Ovis aries: one gene and its partners. The protein of the gene in region 1 interacts with the protein of each later gene in a pairwise test. Links are inferred from orthologs where the notes say so. Each region holds a gene or a part of one and is shown in the gene's direction. Other genes may lie near its edges.

Region 1 (4,059 bases):
CACTCTATGATATAAGAATGTTGTACCATAAATTCTGGTGCACATCTAAGATCAACAACTAATAGGTGATGGTATTTTTTATAGCCATTATAAACACACTCTTCAGAGAATAAAGAAGGGAGGTGGTTGCAGCTCCTATTTCCCTCAAACTAGTAACTCATTTACAGATCATTTTCTTTCCATCCCCCAACACAGGGCTCAGCCTTGTTCTAAGGGTCTAGTAAAGAAAGAAGTTCTTCCACCAGAGTAAAAACTCTGATTCTTATAAATAGGAATTTGCCACTACTCCCTGGCTCTTTGAGGTTTCTTGTGCTTGCTGCTGCTGCTGCTGCTGCTAAGTCGCTTCACTCGTGTCCGACTCTGTGCGACCCCATAGACAGCAGCCCATCAAGCTGCCCCTGGGATTCTCCTGGCAAGAACACTGGAGTGGGTTGCCATTTCCTTCTCTGATGCATGAAAGTGAAAAGTGAAAGAAGTCGCTCAGTCGTGTCCGACCCTCAGCGACCCCATGGACTGCAGCCTTCCAGATTCCTCTGTCCCTCGTATTTTCCAGGCAAGAGTCCTGGAGTGGGGTGCCCTTGCCTTCTCCGTTCTTGTGCTTAGTGGCTCAGTTGTGTCCGACCCTTTGAGACTCCATGGACTGTGGTGAAGTATACAACTGTGAACGTATTTAATGCCACTGAACTACACACTTGAAAACGGTTAAGATGGTAAATGTTATACGTACTTCACCATAATTTAAAATAATAATAAAACAACCTGAGAAAGTCCCTGGCTCAAGGATAAGTACACAGTTGTTGCCTCAATAAATGTCAAGTCCCTTCTTACCACTCACTGGTGTGATAATGCGCTGAGGTACTGTGGAATAAATTGCTCTCCCCCTGATGTTAAAAGAATATCAAGTCTCCTGAAAAGGAATTGTTTTTGGAAATAGGGAACAGAAGATGGCCTTTAGAGGAGACCTCCAGGCACCCCTGTCCATCCAAACCTCCTTTAAAGCAGCTCCCACACGAGGGCACAGCACGTAGGCCTGCATGGCTCCTCCACGCAGCAGATACGATGCTTCACTCTATTACACAATGAGGACACGGGAGGGAACGCAAAGCAAGGACTAAAGGCTGCGGAGCTTTCGCTCGCCCCAGCCTCCCAGAAGCTCCAGACTCTGGCGGCACCTCAACCCCTCCGCCTTCCTCCTCCCTTGGCCCCGCCCACTCTCCTCCCGCTCTGCCCGCCTCCCTTTCAGATTTGCGGTGGACAAGGAATCGAAAGTGAAATAAGGAAACGGCTGCCATCCACTGCGTCTCTTGAAAAGGTGAGTGAACTTGGCTAGACCGAGGTACCCCAGCTCTCCCTAGGGGACCTCTCTCCCCTGCCCCAGGTCTGAAGTGCCTCATCCAAGCCGTCCCCACCCCTAGAGATTTCGATCTCAGGTTTTCTTTCGCAACAGGTCTCCCTCAACCTTAACCCAGCAGTTTTTCCCCTGCAGCCTGGGAGGAGGCTGGGCTGTAAACCTGACTGGGATGTCCCCTGGAAGGAGCTCGGATTGCTCTGCTTCCGCCGGCACCTGAGCTGGGAAGAAAAACCAGGGAAACTGGGAGAACCAGGATGGCAACCTAGCTCAGGGGTGGTCCGGGAGCCCGGTGTGGGGGTAGGTCCGCGATCCCTGAGACTGCTGTCCCCAAAAGGCTCCCTCTGGAGGTGAGAGAGACAGGGTTGCTTAGGATATTAGAAAACTATGGGTCTGCGCCCTAGAAGAAACAAAGGCGGGGCCAGGTTCAGGGTAGCTGAGAGAAGAGCCCAGGAAGTTCTTAATAAACCTCACGCTTCTGTGTGTATGCACATACATATATACACACATATACATATGCGTGTGTGTGTGTGCTCAGTCGTGTCTGACTCTTTGCGACCCCATGGACTGTATGTAGGCCGCCAGGCTCCTCTGTCCACGGGATTTCCCAGGTAAGATACTGAAGTGGGTTGCCATTTCCTTCCCCAGGGGATCTTCCCAACTCAGGGATCAAACCTGCTGTCTCCTGTGTCTCCTGCATTAGCAGGTGGATTCTTTGCCACTTGCACCACCTAGGAAGCCCATGTACTTACGGATATACGTGTATCCTTATGAAAATATGTAAGCATAAATATAAATATTCTTATATATATTCATGTTACCGATGATTAGATAGATACCAATAACTCCTGCCTATTGCAAAGATTAATGAGAATGTATGTGAAGCATGTAGCACCTGGCACATGGAACGAGCACAGTCAATGGTCGCTACTGTTAAGATTAGCTTCTCAACAGAGTAGAAAACCAGTGGCCTGAGGCAGAAGATCAATAGGTAAAGCCTGGACTCTGAGCGGTTAAGCAGAGATGAACATGATGAAAGTCGAATTGTAAGCAGCTGTCTCTCAGGTTCTCAACAATATTTGCTATCTCTTGGGGACTCAGTGTCCCCTTCTGTCTGACTGGATCAGTGACCCAGACTATGGAAGAGGAGCACTATTCAGGTTGAGGTCCTTGTCTTTTCTTGTTTTCACTCCCTCCAGTTCACCCTCTCTCGTGGTTCCCTTTTCTTACCTGGCTCTTCTCTTCCGTCCCTTTCCTCTTCTCCCCTCACCGCAAGATCTCCCCAGCACTACCGAAGAGGAGCATCACCCCAATGGCTTCAGCCGTACCCTTGACAATGATGTGGGAGGAGGTCACGTGCTCTATCTGCCTGGATCCCATGGTGGAGCCTATGAGCATTGAATGTGGTCATAGCTTCTGCCAGGAGTGCATCTCTGAGGTCGGGAAAGAAGGAGGTAGCGTCTGTCCTGTGTGCCGGCGCCACTTCCTGCTCCAGAATCTCCGGCCCAATCGACAGGTAGCCAACATGGTGGACAACCTTAGGAAAATCAGCCAGGGTGCCAAGGAGGGCCCACACGGGGAGCTGTGTGTGGTGCACAGAGAGAAAATTCACCTCTTCTGTGAGGCAGATGGGAAGGCCCTTTGCTGGGTGTGTTCCCAGTCCCAGAAACACCGTGATCATCCCATGGTCCCTATTGAGGAGGCTGCTCAGGAGTACCAGGTGAGTCCTCAGCACAGAGGCAGGAACAGGTAAAAAGGAGATGGGGCCCTGTTGATGGCTTTGTTCCCCAGAGCTGGAAATGGGAGAGAGTTACCTGTGGGGCTGGGGAAAGAATAGGGGTCTCCTGCCTTCTATGTCTTATTTAAGGGGGAAATGGCAAGCTCAGCACAGTTTTCTCATTCTCACAGAGCAGGGATGTGCTATGGGAAAATGCTTCAAGAATCTTCTTCCCTTGTGGCCTCCTGCTTAATTAGGAACAAGCAGTGCCCCCACCCTTTGTACACCAACCGTGTGGCCCTATTTTGTAAGAAATATCAGGCTTTTTCCAAAACCTTCCCATCCACAGAGTTCCTACCCCAAACAGACTCTAGTCCTTCCTTGTCCTCTGCACTCAGCCTCTTCTAAGAACCAGTATGATCTTCCCCCCACTTCACACCACTGCACCCTACTTCTTGACCTGACTGGGTATCATCTTGCTTTCGTTCTCTGCAGGAAAAGCTTCAGGTGGCACTAAAGAAACTAAGAGATAAGCAGGAGATGGCTGAGAAGCTGGAATTGGACATTGCAATGAAGAAAGCATCCTTTAAGGCAAGAGTCATATCCTGAAGGGAATCTTAGATCTGAAGCCTGGGGAGGGTCCAGCTATGCCAGTCCCTATATCTCACTCCCCAAGAACCAGCTGCCCCATAGGTCTCTTGATGGAGGGGATTAAAAGAGTGTGGAGATCAAAAAGAGCTCCCAGTCAGATGGAGAGAGAGTCTTAGGAAAAGGTGCTGAGGGACAAGATATATTCTAATGCTCCTGCTTCTTGAGCCCAGTCTCTGGAGATGACAGCCCAGTCTCTGGAGATGGCCTCAGAGTTTGGGACAGGGGAATGCCAGGAGAGATGCCCAATGTCAAGAAATGACAAGTTGTCAAGAAATGACAGTGACTATGAGAACCAGATTTAAGTGAACCATAAAGGCCTAAGATGGGCTTCCCTAGTGGCTCA
Region 2 (3,515 bases), on another chromosome or scaffold:
CAGATTCTTTACCATCTGAGCCACCAGGGAAACCCGTTTCTCTCTGGTCATCTTTAAAATATTTTTTCACTTTTAAGAACCTACAATAGGAAATGTAAAAGCCCAGGTCAGGGTGGCTGGGTCAGAGTTCACTGAGGTGTGTGTTTGCCTGAGTCTGTGCTCATGTTAAGTCACTCAGTTGTGTCTGACTCTTTGTGACCCCGTGAACTGTAGCTTGCTAAGCCCTGGGATTCTCCAGGTGAGAATACTGGAGTGGGTTGCCATGCCCTCCTCCAGGGGATCTTCCCAACCCAGGGATCGAACCCGAGACTCTTGCGTCTCCAGCATTGGCAGGTGGGTTCTTTACTACTAGCGCCACCTGGGAAGCCCCGTGTGTTTGTTTGGTGTGTTGGCAAAGGTTTGTGCTCGGGAGGCAGAATGCTGGGACTAAGTACAGCTCCTGTCTGCCACCATCTGTGACCTTGGGTACATGACTTCTGCCTCTCCGGGCCTTAGGTTGATAGTCTGTAAAGTGGGTGCAGTCGCACCTCCTGTGTCCAGGACTGCTGGGAGGACCTGGCTGTGATGGGTGCCCGGCACTGGGCAGGGTGGCCGGCCCCTGCCCTCACGTTGCCCTCTCTGCAGGTGGTACTCGGGCCGGATCTCCCGGCAGCTGGCGGAAGAGATTCTGAGGAAGCGAAACCACCCAGGAGCCTTCCTGATCCGGGAGAGCGAGAGCTCCCCAGGGGAGTTCTCTGTCTCTGTGAAGTGAGTTCTGACCCGAATACGCGGAGGAGGGTGGGCAAGGACAGGCCCTTGGAGCGGGGAGGGAACGACAGACCCCTGGAAGCAAATGATCGTCTGGGTGTGAGGTGACTGCAGGGAGTGGCCCTGGGCAGTGAGGATTGGAGGCTGACTGGGAGTCCTCCCATGCCAGGCCAAAGTGTCAGCCATTTTTCCATGAGCAGCAAGTCACCAGGGGAAGCTGATATGACAAGGCTGCAGGGGGAGAGCAGCAGGCCCCCCAGGGTAGGTGTCCAGGGTGTGCTCTGAACAGGGTCCCCCTTGTGCTACGCAGTCAAGAGGATGGACCCTGGGGCCAGAGCGCTTAGGTTCACGTTCCAGCTCAGCCGTTTCCTGTCTGTGTGACTTTGGGCATGTCACTTAACCTCTCTGTACCTGTTTCCTCACGTGTAAAATGAGTTATTGCGAGGAGCAAATGAGTCATTCTATCGAGAGCCGTTAGAACAGTGGCTGCCACTGAAGCAGGGTAGCAGCCTCTGGGCAGAGCAGAACCTGAAACCAGAAGTCACAATGGGGCAATAAGGAGTCCAGGTGGAAGGAGGGGCAGGAACCGGGGAGGGGGTCGGGCCCTGCTTGTCTCTGTCCTGCCTCTTCTGCACCTGAAACAGGGGGATGTGGGAGCAGCAATTCAAGGACTAGTCGCTGAGTTGTGTGCAGTGTGCCGGGCAGCGTCAGGGACTCAGGAAGCAACAGGGAAAAAACAAAGTTGCTGTCCTTCAGGGTTTGTGTCTTAGTCGGGGAGACAGACCTTGAACAAGGAGAGAAACGAACACAGCAGGAGCCAGGTGGCAGGGGCTGATGGCCTCAGGTTTGAGCAGAGATCTGCAGCTGCGGTGCAGGCTGTCCGGGGCCTCGGGAGTGAGGACTGGGAGGAGAGCTTCCAGGCAGAGGGAACAGCAAATGGAAAGCCCCTGGGGTGACTGGGCAAAGCCAGTGGGGGGAGGGGTGTCAAATCCAGAGAGAATGGCCTGATAGGTCCCAACCAGGGGGCGGGTTCCCCCAGAACAACAGGCCCCCACGGAGCATCCCCACTAGGGGAAGGAAGTGGATCCCTTGGGCTACCGAGGAGGAGGATGGCTGGGATCAAGGGGGGGCCTGGAAAGAGCCAGGCGGAGCCTCTGGTATTAGCACTGGGATGGGGCTGGAGGGTCAGGGAGGTGCCATGTGCCCGTGAACTGGGACCACCAATAATACCACCATCAGGGTTGCTGAGGGCACTGGGCACGTAGCTGGATGGGATGGGTGGGTGGCTGTGGGCAGTGTGGCCTCAGTGTGCTGGATGGCACCAGTCTTCTAGAACTTGGATGTGTCACAGCCAATGGCTGGCTGATTTTCCAATGGATAAACACACCTATGTTGATGGCTTTGATGGCTTCTGATGGGGCACCAGGCTCAGAGGAGGGAAGAGCTCATGTCTCCCAGCAGGCCAGCCATGAGGCTCCTGCTTGCAGAAATGTGCCCCAAGGGAGGCCTTTCCTATCTGTTCTGTACAGAGCTTGTGGTGGTGTGTGGTTGGCACACTGGAGCCCAGCAAGTGGGCTTCTCCTAGTCGGGGTCAGGAGGGCTGCTGGGGATGGTGGTCCCCCATCAGGGGTCACAGCCCTCACCCGCCCCTCTCCAGGCTTTGTCACCAGTCTTGGCTTTTATCACTTCCGTTTCCCCTGGGAACAGGCTGAGCTCCTGATCCAAGGCAAGGGCTCTCCTCCTCTCTGAGCCTCAGGGGTGGTGAGACCCCAGTTCTTGTCCCTGAGCGTCTGGAGCCCCCTGGCTTGCCCCTCCCTCCACAGCCCAGCCCCTGAGGCCAGTGGGTCCCCCGAGGAACAGGAAGTGGCAGTTTTCCCTGTGCCAGCTCCCAGGGCCCAGTATCTCCTGGGAGAGGCGCCCGCCAGGCGGGCTGGTCTGGCCTCGCTCCAGGAATCAGCTCCAAGGTCACCGCAAAGGAGGGCACAGGGGCCTTCTTTGGCCACATCTGCAGCCTGAACTGAGCTTCTACCTGCCTCCCTCTCCCCTGAGAGTGGATCCCATGGCCTGAACTTCTGCCGTGGGTGCCCTGGCACCCTGCCCTCTCCTGGAGCCTCCCTGGGCATGCAGACCCGCCACCCCAGCCACGGGGTCAGGCCAGCCAGCTCAACCTTTGGGGTGTGTGTGTGTAGGACAGGGGAGGAGTCCCTCAGAGAGTGAGGGACTGGGGCCTCCACGATGCCTGATCGAGGGAAGTTCGATGGCAGCAGACATTCCACAGGCTGGAGGAGATGACATCTGAGCTGGGCCCTGAGGCATGAGTAGGAGTTTGGTGCACAAAAAGGACAGGGGATGCCAGGCCCAGGGAACAGCAAGTGTGAAGACCAGGGGTGGGGCAGAGAAGGCGGGCTTGGAGAGCAGTTTGTCTGTCTGAGCAGGAGGGGGATGAACAGTTTTAGGGAGCCAGCACCAGTGCCGTCTGGGAAAGGGGCCTGGAGTGTCCCTCAGAGAAATCCCCGCACACACACTGTCCCCTCTGCTCCACCCCAGGCATCCTGCCCAAGCCCTCTCCCCTAGCTCAGAGCCAGAACCCTGGGTGCCCGGGTTGTGGTGTGTACACAGCACCACAAGGTGGCGCCCTCCAGCCTCAGTTGCATCCCCCAGGCCAGGATCCTGGATCCTGCCCCTATTCTGGTCCATGCTCTGTCAGGCGGCCTTTCAGGGCCCTTGGAGGACCACCAGGCAGACCTCAGAGCAGGAAATAGACTCAG
Region 3 (3,515 bases), on another chromosome or scaffold:
ACAAGCCTACAGCCAGTATTTCTCCAAGTCTAAGGCTGCTGAATGAAAGAGCAGTTCACAAAAGTCTATTTTCCTGTGATTACCAGAGATGGCATCTTCTAAAGTATACTACACGCATCAAATACCACTGGGTAAATCCAACCGATGTAAGGCCTCACTGCTGGAAAAAAACATAGAAAATAATTTTAAAGGGAATTCCCTGGCGGTCCAGCGGTTAGGACTCCACGCTTTCACCACTGCAGGCAGGGGTTCAGTCCCTGGTTGGGGGACTAAGATCCCACAAGCCCTGCAGTGTGGCCAAAAAAAGAGGCCTCGGCAAGGACCCGGGCCGCCTCAAGCCCTGGCAGGACGAGCGTGTGCGGCGCGGGGGCGCGGGGGCGCGGGGGCCGCCCCTGCCCTCGGCTCTGCTTGCGGGTCCAGTGTGATCAGGCAGACTTCTGTCAGCTGCTGCCCGGGCTGAAACGCGGGGGAGGCAAGTGCTGACAGTAGCCCCGGCCTTGGCACTCTGGCTGGGGCCGGGGGGTCCTGAGGCCCAGGCCGGGGCTCGTCAGGTGGGAGCCCACCCTGACAGGGGCGCAGGCCTGCGGAGCAGAGGCCAGCCGCGTACGATTGGTTGGGGTGGGGGGCGGGTGGGAGAAGAGGGACGGGCACTCCCGGGGATCCTGGCGCCCAGAGGAAGAGGAGCTGCTGGGGAGACAGCCTCCCTCATGTTGGTGGACGAGAGCCCTTAACTGGAAATACCAGGGGGAAAGCGATGAGCTGGGCGGCCCTGGAGTCAGGACTGTGCCCTCCCCCGGGGCAGTGTGCGTGAGGAGGAGGGATGGATGTGTCTGTCATCAGTTCTTTCCTCACATTCGCCGGAGCCCCCGCACGCTGGTGAGGAGAAGCAAGCAGCCGTCAGCTCGGACAGCCCTTCGCGGAAGAGGCTCTCCAGCTGGCCGGTGGCCCGGGAGGGCACCCAGCTCCTCGTGGACACTGTGGGGGGCAGCCCAGCGGCCCTGAGTGCTCCCTGGAGAGCGCTCGGCAGGCCTCCTGAGGCTGCACGTGACGCCTGTCCCTGGACTGGTGCTCCCTGAGGAGCCCAGCAGAAGCCCAGAGAGACCTGGGGCAGCCCTTGAGTCTGCACAGTGGGCAGAGGTCAGTCTGCGCAGAGGGAAGGAGGGCCCGCACGTGCCGGAGACGGGAGGCGCTGACCATGTTCAGTTGGGGTCAGCCATGCCCGTGAGGCGGGGTAAGGTCACGGCGGGGCTTGGGGTCCTGGTGCTAGGCCAGCGTCTTTGCACGAGAAGCAAGATCGCTGCCTCAGGTTCAGTTAAAGATGGGAAGCGACATCTACCAAAAAGCACGACTAAAGGAGCAAAGAGACGGACTCGAAGTGGCGGACAGACACCTGACCGTGGGCCTGTATCCTGCGTGTTTGTATACAAAGAGCGTCTGCAAGCCAGCAAGAACGACGTGCCAGAGATCGAGGAAGAGCTTCCCAGAGGAGCAGCCCTGACCAGGCATGGCGGGCCGCACATCAGCACCATGGCCGGCGGGCACCACCGGGCTGGCACGGTCGGAAAGCCTGGGAGCCTGAAGACCCACTGGCAGCGTGTGAATTGATGCAGCCGCCGTGCGAACCAGCAGCATCTGCTCAAGTGGCAGTTTCACGCTGAGGAGGCCTTGTGGCTCCATTCATAGTGGCTGAGCTGTGCCCTGGTGTTCGTAGGCCAGCGCCCAGGCCTGCCAGCGAGGCCTGCGTGGTAGTGGGGTGGGCTGAGCCCAGGCGGGGGCAGGTTTCTCAGAGCTGTTGGACAAGCGGGTGTGCTCACCTTTGGTAACTCGTCAACCACACTGCTGCGCTTGCTGCCCTCTTCCGGGTGTGGCGTGTTTAGACAGAGGGGAAAGTGTCCAGGTGAGGAAAACTGGCCAAAGCAGCAGGTGAGTGAACGGTCCGCGGTGGGGCTCAGGGTGGCAGGCTTTTCCAATTTTGTATGTGTATCTTTTTCCTTAAAGAAGGCGAACTATGTTTTTTGTTCTTGAAGAAAGAGCCTGTGGTCCTAAAAGCCTCTGGTTTTGAAGCAGGATGAATTTGAAAATGGCCGCTGGTGGGGAAGGGCCCTTGCATTTCTGCCCGGTGCCCCCCCATCCCCGGCCTCTCGCCTCCCGCTGCAGGGACTCTTTGCCTTCTTCCTGAGCCAGGCCACTGGGAGGCCCTGGGGCAGGGGTCCCGCCCAGGGCGCGGTGCTCTGATGCCACCCCACCCCACCCCCTCACAGCAGGGCCTGCCTTCTGGGCCTGTCCGGTGGCCTGCTCGCTTCCCCCCGCCGCCTCCCTGGGGCCGGTTAGTTTTTCCCACCTGGTGTGGGGGAGGGGCGCCAGGGAAGCGGTGGGCCCTGTGCAGGGGACACCTGCCTCCAGAAACGTCTCCTCCCTCCCTGTGCTCCAGGCAAGTTTGAACCGCCGCTGTTCCACCCAAACGTGTACCCCTCGGGCACGGTGTGCCTGTCCATCCTGGAGGAGGACAAGGACTGGCGGCCAGCCATCACCATCAAGCAGGTACGTGCCCACCCCACCCCACCCCCCAGTGGGCCCAGCCCACGGCCAGAGAGCCTGCCCTTCCCACCGCTGTGTTTTCTCTCGTGCAGATCTTATTAGGAATACAGGAACTTCTAAACGAACCAAATATCCAAGACCCAGCTCAAGCAGAGGCCTACACGATCTACTGGTCAGTAGTGACCCACTCACTCGCTGCGCCCTCTCCTTGGCCTCCCTGAAGGCCAGTCTAGGCCGCCCCTGGCGGGCAGGGGAGTGGGTGACGGGGTGTCAGGAGGCGGCACTCGGGGGCTGACCGCTTTGTCTGAGCCCTGATCCAGCTCAGGGGGAACGTTCCTCTGGGTGTGGGCCCTGGAGGAGGGGTGACCGGTGGCCCACTCAACCAGGGACCCCAGCCTCCCGCCTTGCCCTTGCTGCCGCCCCCGGTCTCCCAGCCCCTCTTCCCTGTCCCGCTGGGGCTTGGTGCTTTTCCAGGGGGCGGGGGCGGCAGTAGGGTACAAAGGCAGGCGTCTGCTTCATGCCCAGCCCTTTGCTGCGTGTCCCTCGGGGCCTGTGTCCAGGGTCGGCGCTGAGGGAGGAGGCTGGGGTGATGGAGTCGGGAAGCAGCCGTTAACACCTGGCGCTTCTGTCCTTCCCAGGCTGGCCTGGGCGGGGCCTTCAGCCAGGCTGGGGGCTCTGACACCCTGGCCCCACCCTTCCCTGAGGGGGCTGGGGAAAGGAGCCCTGGTGCCGTGATGGCCTGGCACCCAGGGCCTGTCCTTCCTGGAGAGCATGGGGAGGGGGCGAAGCCGAGGCTGGGGCTGTCCTCAGGCCCGCTGAACGGCCAGCACCCCAGCTGCCCGAGTCCCCCAAGAGAAGCACCAAGTTACTTCCCCAGAATGGCTCAGGTCCCCGGGCTGGGCCCAGTACTGGCCAAGGGCAGCACGGTGCCTGCCAGCAGGGCAGAGGTCCAGTCCCTGAGCCCCCGGCCTGCTCGC
Region 4 (3,515 bases), on another chromosome or scaffold:
TCCTGTAATTAACCGGCATGTCAGCATTGCAGGTTAACATTCACACACTGTAGGGAGAGGTAACCAGGGGAGAGGGTCCAGCAGAGAGACGTAGGATGAGGGAAGGTCCCAGAGGACTATAGATCATTGGGCGAGCACTTTTGTGATGGGATGCTTCTTTCTTCCCTTCCAAGGTGGTGTGGTCCCTGCAAGATCCTGGGGCCCCGGTTAGAGAAGGTGGTGGCCAAGCAGCATGGAAAGGTGGTGATGGCCAAAGTGGATATCGATGATCACACAGACCTCGCCCTAGAGTATGAGGTATGGATCGGCAGGGGATTGCTACAGGGCAGCTGGTGGGGGTGCTTGGGGTCACGGGGTAGCTGGAAATGTCTTAGGGACCAGCAGGGAGTCAGTAAGGGGGTGTCCTGATTCTTTCTAGAACTCTCAGGGGTTTAGAACTTTGCAGCTGTGACTCCATTAATCTTCTGAGCCTTCTGTCTCTCTTCAATACCTTTAGGAACTGGGATGTATGATCCCAAACACCAGGTTTTTCTCTGAGTCTCAGGAAGTTGATGGCCCTTCCTCATTCATGGATTCATCTATCCGTCCCTGCAGTGTGCCAGGCGTACATGATGCTGGCACAAACAAGATGAGCTCCTTGTCCCAAGGGGAGCAGGGAGGGGAGTAGAGGGGACAAGGAATGTGTCACGTTAGAGGGACCCTCTGAGCAGAGCTGTGAAGAAGGCAGGGCCAAGAGCACACAGACACGAAGACATGAGCTGCTCTCCCGTGTTTGATTGACTTGTCCATTTCTTCAGCAGACATGTATCCAGAGTGCCTTCAATGCCAGGGCTGTGACTCGGGGCTGAGGATGCGGCAGTGAACAGAACTAACAGAGTCCCTGCCTTCGTGGAGCCTGAGTGCTAGTGTTTTAGATTGGGCGTCCACAAACTTGTTCTCTAAAGGACAAGATGGTACCTGTTTGAGGCTTTGTAGGACACCGGTCTCTGTTGCAAATGCTCGCCTGTCTTGTAGCTCGAGGGTAACCATAGAATCTACATGAATGGGCACGGCCATGTGCCAGCAAAACTTCATTTACAAAATTCCAGGGTTAGACTTGTGGGCCACAGGTCACTGTTCCCTGTTTCAGATAATAAGTGTCCTGGGAAAAAAGAAATCAGGAATAGCAGGTGGGAGTGCTGGGCCTAGGGCAGGGAGGGTTTCCTTTTTTTAAAGGGTTGGGTAGGGAAGGCCTCACTGAAAAGCACCATCTGAGCAGAGACCTGGAAGGGGTAAAGAATGAACGATGCAGCTCTTTAGAAGTGGATTCTGGCAGAGCAGATATCTTTTACAAAGACCCTGAGTGAGCAAACAGGCAGCTGGGAAGGCCGACTGTGGCCGCATTGGGAGGACCCTGAATAGCCATGCTGAAGACAGTCATTACAGAGCCAGGGTCACATCTGGCTCAGTGACTTGACTGGGCTGGTCCTCGAAGTGGTGTTTTTTTTTTTTTTCAGTAATGGACTGGATGCTAATATTTAAAACTGAGAAGATTTCATGCGAAAATCCGTATTTCTGGTTCTCTGAAATATCGGGTTCTGGCCATAGTGAACCTTCACTCTTTCCTGGTAGTAGTGATGAAAGAGGTGGCCTCTCCCTTTCTCAGACTTTGGAAGTCCATGTTTGATTCCCTTGAGACCAAGTCAAGTAGAGATGCCTGTCCACCACAGTCCCTGTGGCAGGAAATGGGTAGGGGCAGGGTGAGAATAGACTGGCTGCCCCTAGACCTGGGGCTAGGAGTGGTCCCTCGAGGAAAGCCGGGCTGCCCTGACCAGAGGCAAGGGCAAGAGATGCTGGGCAGGTAAAGCCACAGATGATGACTGCAGGTGGTTGGGGGGATGTTACCCCAGTAAGACTGCCCACAGCACTGGGTGACCAGAGCGGCTTACAGGGCTCAGCTGTCCCACTGGCCGCTCAGTCAGGGAGGCACTGGTCTGGCCATTTAGGGCCCCCTGACTTTGTTGCTTGTCCATCCCTCCCCAGAGACCCGCGGGAGCTGTGGGCGTGGGTATGGCCTTCCGGTGTGAGTTCAGGGCTGGAGCTTCTGGCCACCCCAGGAGGACGGACAGACTCCACATGTCTTAGGCTCCCTCCCTCCGGATACCACAGCTTTGGTCTCAGCCAGTGGAACTTAGGCTAACACATCCCAAGCACCAACCATGCCCCAGGAGCTGTGGTAACTATAAGGATACCAGGGATAACCCACTTCCTCCAGCTGTGGTCACACGGGTGGTAAGAATTCCCAGGACCACCTTGCTGGGATTGCCAGGAGTCTGTGTTCCTGGTGACATCGGGCCTGGCCCTGAAGTCCTGTGGTTAAGCCTGGAAGTGTGTGGCAGGGGAGAGGTTCTCTTGTAGGGTCTTCTCTGTCTGTCCACTGTCCAGAGAGTACATGGGTCATACAGAGGGACCTCAAGACTGCTGGGCCCAGGTCACCTGGACACAGCCTTTTGGTCTTGCCAGGTCCTGAGCTGACCAGTTGCCAGGTTATTGTTGGCTAAGGAAGCTCCCGCAGGGATTCTTCCTGACCCTTCCCCTACCCTCTTCCTTCCTTCCTTCCTTCCTTCACACCTGGTGTTTCGGAAGAGAGTGTGAGGACATGTCAGCTAAGGGATCCATAGCTCCTCCTGGGACAGCTTGCTCCAAGGCCTGAAGGCCTTTTCCAAATGGTGAATGAACTTGGAGAAGCTGCTTTAAATCATATTCAGGGAATTAGGGGCTTCTCCCCAAACTCTTCTGCCACTCCCAAGCCCAGCACACATTCTCAGGGTGTGTCTCCTTCTTTGCACAAATTCCTCTCCCTTGCCACCACACTCTATGTTTCCATTAACTATCCACCCTAGAATTTCACCATCTCCCAAAGGAGAGAGGAGGGAAGGTCGCCCAGGGCCTTGGGGTGTGCCTCCCCCCACCACACACACACTGCCCTGAGTTGGCCAAGTGAAGGGCCCTCTTCTTCCCCACCTCCTCAGGTTCTCTGGCTGGGCATTCCCCGATTGTTCAGACCCCGCAGAGAAAGAGTGGCTCAGGCTGTGGACCTTGACCCTTAATACTGTCCTCTGGGGCTTCTGATGTTCACCTCACACATGGAGTTTCATTATTTATCTCATCTTACAGAGAATGCCCTTTAAACAGCATTTTCAGAACAACCAAATAGCAGTAATCTTACCATCCAAACAAATCACTGCCAACATTTGGGGTACCTTGTTTGGGTTTTTTGTTTGAAATTTTTTTAATGGTCCATATAACCTCACAGTGGAGAAGGAAATGGCAACCCACTCTAGTATTCTTGCCTGGAGAACCCCATTGGCAGAGAGGCCTGGCAGGCTACAGTCCACGGGGTCACAAGAGTCGGATGCAACTTAGCGACTACACCACCGCCACCACCATAACCTCACAGACAGTTCATTGAATCATAGTATTTCAGCATTACTGGAAATCACACAGTACTCCAGCCACTGGGCTTCCCTGGTGGC

What was found. The genes of interacting proteins can lie anywhere in the genome.
Region 2: the proteins of TRIM21 (region 1) and GRAP interact in binary tests that used the Homo sapiens proteins (3 or more experiments, as listed by UniProt). The two-hybrid records come from large-scale screens. The link is inferred for Ovis aries from reciprocal best matches to the Homo sapiens genes TRIM21 and GRAP.
Region 3: the proteins of TRIM21 (region 1) and UBE2I interact in a two-hybrid assay, tested with the Homo sapiens proteins (2 studies listed by BioGRID). The two-hybrid records come from large-scale screens. The link is inferred for Ovis aries from reciprocal best matches to the Homo sapiens genes TRIM21 and UBE2I.
Region 4: the proteins of TRIM21 (region 1) and TXN2 interact in binary tests that used the Homo sapiens proteins (3 or more experiments, as listed by UniProt). The two-hybrid records come from large-scale screens. The link is inferred for Ovis aries from reciprocal best matches to the Homo sapiens genes TRIM21 and TXN2.

Annotation. Positions count from the first base shown.
Region 1 is NC_056068.1:49,571,358-49,575,416, forward strand, and holds the start of TRIM21 (E3 ubiquitin-protein ligase TRIM21), read left to right. Parts: upstream 1-1,256; 5' UTR 1,257-1,959; intron 1,960-1,996; exon of another isoform or gene 1,997-2,128; intron 2,129-2,624; 5' UTR 2,625-2,660; coding exon 2,661-3,068; intron 3,069-3,560; coding exon 3,561-3,656; intron 3,657-4,059. UniProt on the Homo sapiens protein: E3 ubiquitin-protein ligase whose activity is dependent on E2 enzymes, UBE2D1, UBE2D2, UBE2E1 and UBE2E2.
Region 2 is NC_056064.1:33,955,597-33,959,111, forward strand, and holds part of GRAP (GRB2-related adapter protein), read left to right. Parts: intron 1-624; coding exon 625-747; intron 748-3,515. UniProt on the Homo sapiens protein: Couples signals from receptor and cytoplasmic tyrosine kinases to the Ras signaling pathway. Plays a role in the inner ear and in hearing.
Region 3 is NC_056077.1:1,573,683-1,577,197, forward strand, and holds part of UBE2I (SUMO-conjugating enzyme UBC9), read left to right. Parts: coding exon of another isoform or gene 1-176; exon of another isoform or gene 177-1,342; intron 1,343-2,431; coding exon 2,432-2,541; intron 2,542-2,630; coding exon 2,631-2,710; intron 2,711-3,515. UniProt on the Homo sapiens protein: Accepts the ubiquitin-like proteins SUMO1, SUMO2, SUMO3, SUMO4 and SUMO1P1/SUMO5 from the UBLE1A-UBLE1B E1 complex and catalyzes their covalent attachment to other proteins with the help of an E3 ligase such as RANBP2, CBX4 and ZNF451.
Region 4 is NC_056056.1:180,533,908-180,537,422, reverse strand, and holds part of TXN2 (thioredoxin, mitochondrial), read left to right. Parts: intron 1-173; coding exon 174-297; intron 298-3,515.